3 linked regions of the Saccharomyces cerevisiae S288C genome follow. Changing the gene in region 1 together with any one later gene gives a genetic interaction. Each region holds a gene or a part of one and is shown on either strand. Other genes may lie near its edges.

Region 1 (3,600 bases):
CCTTTTGATTTCTTTTTTTATTCTCAAGTTTTTAATTTCTGGAGAATCTCTTTTTTTGTTTATTTTGTTAACACAGTTAGTGGAGCCTTGTAGTATCGAGAGTAGACTATCTTTGGAAAGCAATGCGAGTTGAGAGATTGTGGAGTGTACTACAGAACCAATATTAAACACAATCTTTCCTCAAACTGTAACACCGAGTTTTTTTCCCCACCAATCGTGAATCCGATAGCATATACTTTTGTCTAGAAATTTCAATAAACAACAGAATAACGAAGAGTGCTAAGGGACAAATGCAAAACCCTCCGTTGATTCGTCCCGATATGTATAATCAGGGAAGCAGCTCAATGGCTACTTATAATGCCTCTGAGAAGAATCTAAATGAGCATCCTTCTCCGCAAATTGCACAGCCCAGCACGTCCCAAAAGTTACCTTATAGAATAAATCCTACAACCACTAATGGGGACACCGACATATCTGTTAACAGCAATCCTATCCAGCCTCCTTTGCCAAACTTGATGCATCTATCTGGTCCGTCTGACTATAGATCGATGCATCAAAGTCCTATACATCCATCTTATATCATCCCTCCGCATTCAAATGAAAGAAAACAATCAGCTTCTTACAACAGACCTCAAAATGCTCATGTTAGTATTCAACCTTCCGTGGTATTCCCCCCTAAAAGTTATTCCATATCTTATGCACCTTATCAAATAAATCCCCCTTTACCAAATGGACTTCCGAACCAGAGCATATCTTTGAATAAGGAGTATATTGCAGAGGAGCAACTATCAACCCTCCCATCTCGCAATACCAGTGTTACTACTGCACCTCCTTCTTTTCAAAACAGTGCTGATACCGCTAAAAATTCAGCTGATAATAATGATAATAATGATAATGTAACCAAACCTGTTCCTGATAAAGACACCCAACTCATAAGTAGTTCAGGCAAAACTTTAAGAAATACTAGAAGAGCTGCTCAAAATAGAACCGCTCAAAAGGCATTTAGACAAAGGAAAGAAAAATACATCAAGAATCTCGAACAAAAATCAAAGATATTTGACGATTTACTAGCAGAAAATAATAACTTCAAATCATTAAACGATTCATTAAGAAATGACAACAACATTTTAATAGCTCAGCATGAAGCTATAAGGAATGCAATTACTATGTTAAGAAGTGAGTATGATGTCTTATGTAACGAAAACAACATGTTGAAGAATGAGAATAGTATAATAAAAAATGAACACAACATGTCAAGAAATGAAAATGAAAACCTAAAACTTGAGAATAAACGCTTCCACGCTGAATATATACGAATGATCGAGGATATTGAAAATACTAAAAGAAAGGAACAAGAACAACGAGATGAAATAGAGCAACTAAAAAAAAAAATAAGATCCCTGGAGGAAATAGTAGGGAGACACTCGGATAGTGCCACGTAATACAATAAATAGGGAGCAGATATTGATCTCTAGTACTGGAAGATCAACTTTTTGCTTTGGCCTTATAGGTCATATAAATTTTAATAATTAATGTAACAGACAAATCAAGGTGTGATTCTGTTCTGATAAAATTTGTTATTTTCCAGAATGTTCTAGAAGTGTTCTTTCATCTAATGGCATCGCGTTTGAATAGGGGGTGCACGGACTTTTTTTTTTGAATAAACCCCTGTGATTCATTGTATCTAAGCTCATCAAACCCCCTAGTTACTGACTCACGCACACACATATATATACATATATATGCATATGTAAGCATGAAAAGTTTGACTTCTATTATCTATTCCAGGAACCCTGAAACAAGCGAGTGAAAATCTTTCAAGGTTAAATATGTTAAGACAAGCTACAAAAGCACCAATACAAAAATATTTACAGAGAACGCAACTATTAAGGCGAAGTACTCCACGAATATACACTATTGTACAGTGTAAAAGATCTATTTGCAGTTTTAATGCAAGACCTCGAGTAGCCAATAAACTTCTATCAGATATAAAAACAAATGCATTAAATGAAGTCGCTATTTCAACCTGCGCCCTCAAGAGCTCATATGGATTGCCCAATTTCAAAAGAACGTACGTCCAAATGAGGATGGATCCCAATCAGCAACCGGAAAAGCCAGCTTTAGAACAATTTGGTACAAACTTGACAAAATTAGCGCGCGACGGTAAATTAGACCCTGTCATTGGCAGAGACGAAGAAATCGCAAGAGCTATTCAAATTTTATCAAGAAGAACAAAAAATAATCCATGTTTGATCGGTCGAGCTGGTGTCGGTAAAACCGCCCTTATTGATGGGTTAGCTCAAAGAATTGTTGCTGGGGAGGTCCCTGACTCGTTGAAAGATAAAGATCTAGTAGCTTTGGATTTGGGATCTTTGATTGCTGGCGCCAAATATAGAGGTGAATTCGAAGAACGTTTAAAAAAGGTTTTAGAAGAAATTGACAAGGCCAATGGTAAGGTTATTGTTTTCATTGATGAAGTTCATATGCTGCTTGGCTTAGGTAAAACTGATGGTAGTATGGATGCTTCTAACATCTTAAAGCCAAAACTGGCCCGTGGGCTACGTTGTATCTCTGCAACCACTCTTGATGAATTCAAAATCATTGAAAAAGATCCGGCTTTATCGAGAAGGTTTCAGCCTATCTTATTGAATGAGCCGAGCGTCTCCGATACGATTTCTATACTAAGAGGTTTAAAAGAAAGGTACGAGGTTCATCATGGTGTAAGGATCACTGATACAGCTTTAGTGTCTGCTGCAGTTCTTTCAAATCGTTATATAACAGACAGGTTTCTACCTGATAAAGCCATTGATCTAGTTGACGAAGCTTGTGCTGTACTACGTTTACAACATGAATCCAAACCGGATGAAATACAGAAACTGGATCGTGCTATTATGAAAATACAAATAGAACTGGAATCTTTAAAGAAAGAGACCGACCCTGTTTCCGTGGAAAGAAGAGAAGCGTTGGAAAAGGACCTAGAAATGAAAAATGATGAATTAAACAGATTAACAAAAATATGGGACGCTGAAAGAGCTGAAATTGAATCTATCAAAAATGCTAAGGCAAATTTGGAACAAGCAAGAATTGAGTTGGAAAAGTGTCAGAGAGAGGGTGATTACACTAAAGCATCCGAGTTGCGATATTCCAGAATTCCTGACTTGGAGAAGAAGGTAGCTTTAAGCGAGAAGAGTAAGGACGGAGATAAAGTAAATTTACTTCATGATTCAGTTACTTCTGACGATATTTCTAAGGTTGTTGCCAAAATGACTGGTATTCCTACAGAAACGGTGATGAAAGGCGACAAGGACCGCCTACTGTATATGGAAAATTCTTTAAAAGAAAGAGTCGTTGGCCAAGACGAGGCCATTGCTGCTATTTCTGATGCTGTACGTCTTCAAAGGGCTGGTTTGACCAGTGAAAAGAGACCTATTGCCAGCTTTATGTTCTTAGGTCCTACTGGTACTGGTAAAACAGAATTGACCAAGGCTTTAGCTGAATTCCTATTTGATGACGAATCAAATGTGATTCGTTTTGACATGTCAGAATTTCAAGAGAAGCATACTGTCTCTCGTTTAATCGGTGCACCTCCAGGTTACGTCT
Region 2 (3,840 bases), on another chromosome or scaffold:
TTCTGCTGAGCAACATATTGATATAAACAGTAAAAAGAAGTGGGTTCCTTGTTTTCCTGCAATTATAACTAACCGTGCTTACTACCAAAAAAAAAGTGCGTATAAATATTCACTATTTACAATGTTGAAGGTTCCAGATGGATACAGAATAGGAATCCTAAATATAAACACTATATTTATTTATTTTTTTCGAATAAAAGTCATGTTAGCAATATTTATATAGTTGATTTTCCTGCATTTATTATATAATTGGCGGCATAGTAACATCAAAAAAAAAAAAAAAAACATTCAAATTGCACTACTTATAGCAGTAGCATCTATAAAAGTTTTATGATATAAACCTTTACAGTTATCTCAAATGGTTTTGGGATTGTCCATCAAATCAAGCGTGATTCATCTATACGTTATTATTCTCCTACAACCCCCTTAGTTTGGAGAGCGCTTAGAGAAATAAAGCATCGATGTTTTCTTACCTTCACTAAAATCAAAATAAAAAAGCTTTTCTATAGTTCACGAATTACGCAATTTATTCTATCATCCTTAAAGTTGATCAATTGCGATTTTAACACACATTTTCAAATGTCATTTTGCGCTTGTATAATAGGTGCCATCTGGACACTTTATAAAAAATAAAGGAAAAGTAAAATATAATGCTGAAAATATAGTTGCCTTAAAATGCCATTGATATGATTTTTTTTTAACCTTAAATCTATTGGCCTATAATATTCGCGGCAAAATGAGCATTTGAAAATCAGTAATAGAATGCTATCAAACTTCGTTCATGACCTTTTTAGCATCATAAGTGTTGAATCGAATCTATCAGTTCAGTAATTAAAAATACTATTTTTCTGTCAGCACAGAACGTAACGACTTTTCCTTATATCCACTATTGATTTCTCTTTAAAGTGCTATGTAAAGTACCTAAAAAACTTGTTATAGAAGTCTCATTCGAAAGCATGTGGGCTCAAAAATTGTGAATAAGATACATAGAAGGAGCCGCTGATCGACACATAATAGTAGAGTTGAACCTAGTTGGTTCAACCATTATCATAGTTATACGAATAAAGCCACAATATAAATGGCCAACCGCTGTTGTCAAACAAGACTATAGGTTCATTTTAACCTGGCGTGCAGTACGCTGGTCTTGCTAACGCCTCTACAATACGTACAGTGCAGGTTTTGACGAATGAAAGTGGTTAGAAGATTAATGTGATAGAAACAAGAATTTTCTCGCAAAGATCTGTATGAAAGGAAACGTTTGGTAAGAACTCTGCGATCCAAATTCTACTGAATGAATAGAAGGCTTCTACAGAACAAGTTGTATCGAAATGATTGTTGGCGACTACTATATTTCTATAGGCATGAAAGTTACTCATAAACAGGAAAGACGCATTTTAGTAGCTTGACCTGGTCAGATTAATCAGCTTCCAACGTTACTTCCCTTTCGCAAGAATCTACCCAAAATGTCTCGAGCATCTTGATAATTACAGTATCGTTCGTCCCGACTTGGCATTTGTTTAAATTTCTAAGATGCTTCCTATAGGAACATAATTGTCAAGAAAGCACAACAAATTGTCTGCAATGTCAACAGGAGTGGCGCATTTTATGTTTTTTCATTTTTTTTTTTTTGTGCGTGATCATTAAGCGGGATATTGTCCACAGTCATCTAAAAGAATGACCATTTCGACGACTTAGTTCGGAAAATATTTCCAGCGGATGACACCACTTGCCACAGTTGGTGACCGCCAAATCTAAGTCACGCGCGGAAACTGAAAGGTTGTGAGTATATAAGTGATCACTCGCTTATATAACTGACGAGGCAGAACAGGGTGCCAAAATGCTCCTCAATATTTTATTCATTTGAGATTCAAGGCTTAAAGACAGCATATATAAGAATTATGACGGCCGCACATCCTGTTGCTCAGTTAACTGCCGAGGCATACCCTAAAGTCAAGAGAAACCCAAATTTCAAAGTTCTCGACTCGGAAGATTTGGCGTACTTTCGTTCGATTTTGTCAAATGATGAAATCTTAAACTCTCAAGCTCCAGAAGAGCTTGCTTCGTTTAACCAGGACTGGATGAAAAAATATAGAGGCCAGTCCAATTTAATTCTCTTGCCAAACTCCACTGATAAAGTGTCCAAGATTATGAAATACTGTAACGATAAAAAGTTGGCAGTAGTACCACAAGGTGGTAACACCGACTTGGTCGGAGCCTCTGTTCCGGTATTTGATGAGATTGTTCTTTCTCTAAGAAATATGAACAAAGTCAGAGATTTTGATCCAGTTAGCGGGACTTTCAAGTGTGACGCGGGTGTCGTTATGCGTGATGCGCATCAATTTTTACACGACCATGACCATATCTTCCCATTGGATCTGCCTTCTAGAAACAACTGTCAAGTGGGCGGTGTAGTTTCAACAAATGCAGGTGGTTTGAACTTTTTAAGATATGGGTCTCTACACGGTAATGTTTTGGGTTTGGAAGTGGTGCTACCCAACGGTGAGATTATCAGCAATATCAATGCCCTAAGGAAGGACAATACTGGTTATGACTTGAAACAATTATTCATCGGTGCAGAGGGTACTATCGGTGTCGTTACTGGTGTATCCATAGTTGCAGCAGCAAAGCCAAAAGCCTTGAATGCCGTATTTTTTGGTATTGAGAATTTCGATACCGTTCAGAAATTATTTGTCAAGGCTAAAAGTGAATTATCTGAGATTTTATCTGCTTTTGAATTCATGGACCGTGGCTCCATTGAATGTACGATAGAATACTTGAAGGACTTGCCTTTCCCTCTGGAGAACCAACACAACTTTTATGTTCTTATTGAAACGTCAGGGTCCAATAAGAGACACGACGATGAGAAGCTGACTGCTTTCCTCAAAGATACCACAGATTCTAAATTAATTTCGGAGGGTATGATGGCTAAGGACAAAGCCGATTTTGATAGACTTTGGACCTGGAGAAAATCTGTTCCAACAGCTTGTAATTCTTACGGTGGTATGTACAAGTATGACATGTCACTTCAATTGAAAGATTTATATTCCGTATCTGCGGCTGTGACGGAGAGATTAAACGCAGCCGGTTTGATTGGTGATGCACCAAAACCAGTTGTTAAATCATGTGGTTATGGTCATGTCGGTGACGGAAACATCCATTTAAATATCGCGGTAAGAGAATTTACAAAACAGATTGAGGACTTACTAGAACCATTTGTTTATGAATATATTGCATCAAAGAAAGGTTCCATCAGTGCTGAGCATGGGATCGGTTTCCATAAGAAAGGTAAGTTACACTACACCAGAAGTGATATTGAAATTAGATTTATGAAGGATATCAAAAATCACTACGATCCAAATGGAATCTTAAACCCATACAAGTACATTTGAACTTTGTTAATTTTTAACTTTCAAAGAGCAAACCCTTTTTCTTTACAGTATTATAGATTTACATATATGTATTTATCAATTTATTATTGATCAAAATTAATATACCATAAAATATTTATCTTAAGCCGTTGTTCTTGAACGATTTTCGGTGAAGAAACCTAAGAGACCATTTTTTGTGGAAAAAGGTCTCGTTTTCTATAGATCTGCGACCAGGAATCTCCTGATTGCGTACTTCAAAAAGTGTTCGTCCATTTTTTCTTTACTACATTAGATAATTATACATAATCCAATTGGAGTAGTGACATGAGTATTGGTATAACCTTAATCCAACAATTTTAAACACGTACTAAAGTGATCTGGACTCATTAAAACTCAAATCTCGTCCAGTTTTTTCTTCATTTGTGATCAACATCCAGGGAGACACGGAGATTATAGTAGTAGTTAATAACAC
Region 3 (3,534 bases), on another chromosome or scaffold:
TAAAAATACAAACAATTATTCATCGACGGTTTTTTTCGATCAGTCAAATTCCTGCATGGGCAAGCTTAAAAGGTTTTTAAGATTAGCTCGACCAATGCTAGATCAAATTTATGATAGAAGCGCATTTCCAGACTTAGCCGAAAATTGTAAAAAACTAAGAAACTTTGTAGAGACTGAATTCCACCCAATATCATATTACACTGACAGTGAGTTAATATCTAAAGTTCCTTTGTGCGAGATTAAAGTGCTTGCGCAGGTTTTGAATTTGTTGTTGACGTTTTATTCCTTGAGGTATTTGATTTACAAGGAAAAAAGCGTTGTTTTAGAGAACAACATCCTGCAAACCATTTTGGTCTCTTTTTCCCTTGTCATCAATACGACCATACTGTGTTTTAACCTAGATGAGAAGCATTTTCCTGAGTTTTTTGATCATAATTGCGTTCATTTACCGCCATTTATGGCCTTGTCTTTAGTATACACAAATTTCCTTTTTCCTAGGGCCTCTACTGGCTTTTGTGCGTTTTTGTATCATAAGTTAACTCTTTTTGAGAAGGGCTATTATCTATCATCCAACATCAAAGATCAAGAAGTCACAGATTGGGATTTGTCAACCTTGAATATCCCGTTGGATAAAGCTATGAACTTACTTACTGCTTTCAAAATACATTCAGATATATTTGCTAAATGGTCTAATGATAACAACAAGCAGTTAAGAATTATTATGGCTCGCTCTTATACATTTGTTATCAACATCGCCCTGGAAAGCATATATAGAGCTGTTTTGGAAAAAGTAATCAAATATAGAACCGAGGTCGAAAACACATGGTTACAACAACTCCAAGACGAATTGAATGGGTCCTATTCGCTCACTGACAATGTAAATACTCCAATCGATCCCAGTTTAAGTGACCTGGGCGTCACAAGCGCCAGTCCATTGGCGGGAAATTCTCCAGGATTACCCCCGGAGGAAGTGCGAAATAACAGCGAAAACGCTTCGCATAACAATGAAACTGGGCCAATTGAGACTGAACTGGCACAGACAATATCCAACGAATTTTGGACGGCGTACAACCTTGGCTGGGAGGAACTAATGAGTCAGCCAGATTATAAATATTTATTTGATACGCAGTAGAGGAGAAGTTCTTTTACAAAAAAACATGCTTGCGACAGCAGCTAGATAGAAAACTTGCATATTGTAATGGAAGACAGTCGAGAGCAAGCCATTGGCTTGGACTTGCGCTTGGACCTATCTTTCGGACCAACTATTTAATGATTAGTAAGACAAAAATGACATTTAAGCATCTATAAAATAAGAAAAATAAAAAAATGAAGGGAAAAAGCTAAACACTAACTTCTTGACCAAACAAACAAGGAAAAGCCAGTAATTGCGTGAACAAAAGGCACCTGCAATTGTTCTGATGGATGTACTTTGTCCAACCTATTCTGCAAGAAAAAGAAATCAACTCCAAAGAAGTATGGAGCTTACTGGCACTCTAGCCTCCAAAAGCTGTTAAAGTGTTCATTCGATTGTCAAAAATCTTCCCCATAATAATCACCCACCTCAACAAAATACTTCCACTTAATTATTGATCGATTAGAGCTAGCGTCAGTGATTATATGCTAGTCCGAAAGGACAGCCCCATGACAGCGGCCGCGCAGACGCCTAGGGGGGAAATAAGGGGTGACAATACCAATGAGTATAAAGGCAGAAAGAAGAGAAACAGAAGCACGGGGGTTTCGTTTGGTCTTCAAATATATGTTAGGTCGGTACCTTTTCATTGCAAAATTGAAAAGATTTGAGCGTGTAAAAGTAAAAAAATACATGATGGGTTCCCAAGATTTAGCTAGTTTAATTGGGAGGTTTAAATACGTCAGGGTGTTAGATTCGAACCCTCATACAAAGGTAATCTCACTACTAGGCAGCATAGATGGGAAGGATGCCGTGTTAACTGCTGAAAAGACGCATTTCATATTTGATGAAACGGTACGTAGACCCTCTCAAAGTGGCCGTAGCACTCCGATTTTCTTTCATCGTGAAATAGACGAGTACTCCTTTTTAAACGGTATTACTGATCTGAAGGAATTAACTTCGAATGACATCTACTACTGGGGGTTGTCTGTTTTGAAGCAGCATATTTTGCATAACCCAACTGCGAAGGTTAACTTAATTTGGCCCGCCTCGCAGTTCCACATCAAGGGATACGACCAGCAGGATTTACATGTCGTCAGAGAAACTCCTGATATGTATAGAAACATAGTTGTGCCCTTTATCCAAGAGATGTGTACCAGCGAAAGAATGAAATGGGTAAACAACATTCTTTACGAGGGCGCCGAGGATGATAGAGTTGTTTATAAGGAATACAGTAGCAGGAATAAAGAGGATGGATTCGTCATCTTGCCCGATATGAAGTGGGACGGAATCAACATTGATTCGTTATACCTGGTCGCGATCGTGTACAGGGACGACATCAAATCTTTGAGAGATTTGAACCCAAACCATAGAGATTGGTTAATTAGACTCAATAAGAAGATTAAGACCATCATCCCCCAGCACTATGACTATAATGTAAACCCGGACGAGCTAAGAGTTTTCATTCATTATCAACCTTCATATTACCATTTTCATGTCCATATAGTGAATATAAGGCATCCAGGAGTAGGCGAGGAGAGAGGCTCCGGAATGACAATACTGTTGGAAGATGTTATAGAAGCGTTGGGTTTCTTAGGTCCTGAAGGTTATATGAAGAAGACGCTTACTTATGTCATTGGTGAAAATCATGATTTATGGAAAAAGGGCTTTAAGGAAGAAGTTGAAAAGCAACTGAAGCATGATGGTATCGCAACCAGTCCTGAAAAAGGCTCTGGGTTCAATACCAATTTGGGTTGAAGGTAGAAGAGCAGCACTATTTTTTCATGTGCTGAACTTCAGGAAGCGCCGGCTTATATAAATGTCTTATTTAAATGTTTGTGTATACATCTCAATGGATTTTGAATTTTAACATAGAATGCGAATGCACAGTAACATAGTACATTCAGTTGCTATTTTCCGTATAAGCTTTCTTTCCCTTATAGCATACATAGCCTTTGACGTATTGCCAGCCTTTTCAAAGAAATGCGAAAAAATAGTGCATTACCACCTACGTAAGGTAGGCTGGAGAAAAAGATAAACTTTTGCATTCTCTGCTCACCATACCGCGAAGGAAAGTAGTTATAACGTGTCCCGTTTTCAACAAGGTTTTCTGGTATATTGTTAACGGTGGAGAAAGCATCTAGTATCAATTACTTCCAGAGTACACACAACGAATGTTATGTCTGTCCAAGATACTAAAGCGGTAGAGTTTTCTATGGGTCACATCAGATCATCCTCTGTATCCCTGGTAGCAGAGGCTACTTCAAACACGAATAGTGAAGACAAATTATCTAAGGTCCAACTCTACGAAGATTTGTGCCGGTACGAGGATACATTGAGTAAGTTGGTGGAATCTGTAGATCGTTTCAAACCAAACCTTGATATTGCCAAGGATTTGATCAGAA

Evidence for each region.
Region 2: mutations in HSP78 (region 1) and DLD3 impair growth when combined (synthetic growth defect), as found in Saccharomyces cerevisiae (one study listed by BioGRID).
Region 3: mutations in HSP78 (region 1) and DCS2 together harm fitness more than expected from each alone (negative genetic interaction), as found in Saccharomyces cerevisiae (2 studies listed by BioGRID).

Annotation. Positions count from the first base shown.
Region 1 is NC_001136.10:972,473-976,072, reverse strand, and holds the start of HSP78 (chaperone ATPase HSP78), read left to right. Parts: upstream 1-1,829; coding exon 1,830-3,600. Other genes in the region: YAP6 (Yap6p), read left to right, coding at 291-1,442. UniProt on the Saccharomyces cerevisiae protein: Required, in concert with mitochondrial Hsp70 (SSC1), for the dissociation, resolubilization and refolding of aggregates of damaged proteins in the mitochondrial matrix after heat stress.
Region 2 is NC_001137.3:14,457-18,296, forward strand, and holds DLD3 (D-lactate dehydrogenase), read left to right. Parts: upstream 1-1,898; coding exon 1,899-3,389; downstream 3,390-3,840. UniProt on the Saccharomyces cerevisiae protein: Catalyzes the reversible oxidation of (R)-2-hydroxyglutarate to 2-oxoglutarate coupled to reduction of pyruvate to (R)-lactate. Can also use oxaloacetate as electron acceptor instead of pyruvate producing (R)-malate.
Region 3 is NC_001147.6:655,439-658,972, forward strand, and holds DCS2 (5'-(N(7)-methyl 5'-triphosphoguanosine)-(mRNA) diphosphatase), read left to right. Parts: upstream 1-1,825; coding exon 1,826-2,887; downstream 2,888-3,534. Other genes in the region: YRM1 (Yrm1p), read left to right, coding at 1-1,132; MED4 (Med4p), read left to right, coding at 3,309-3,534.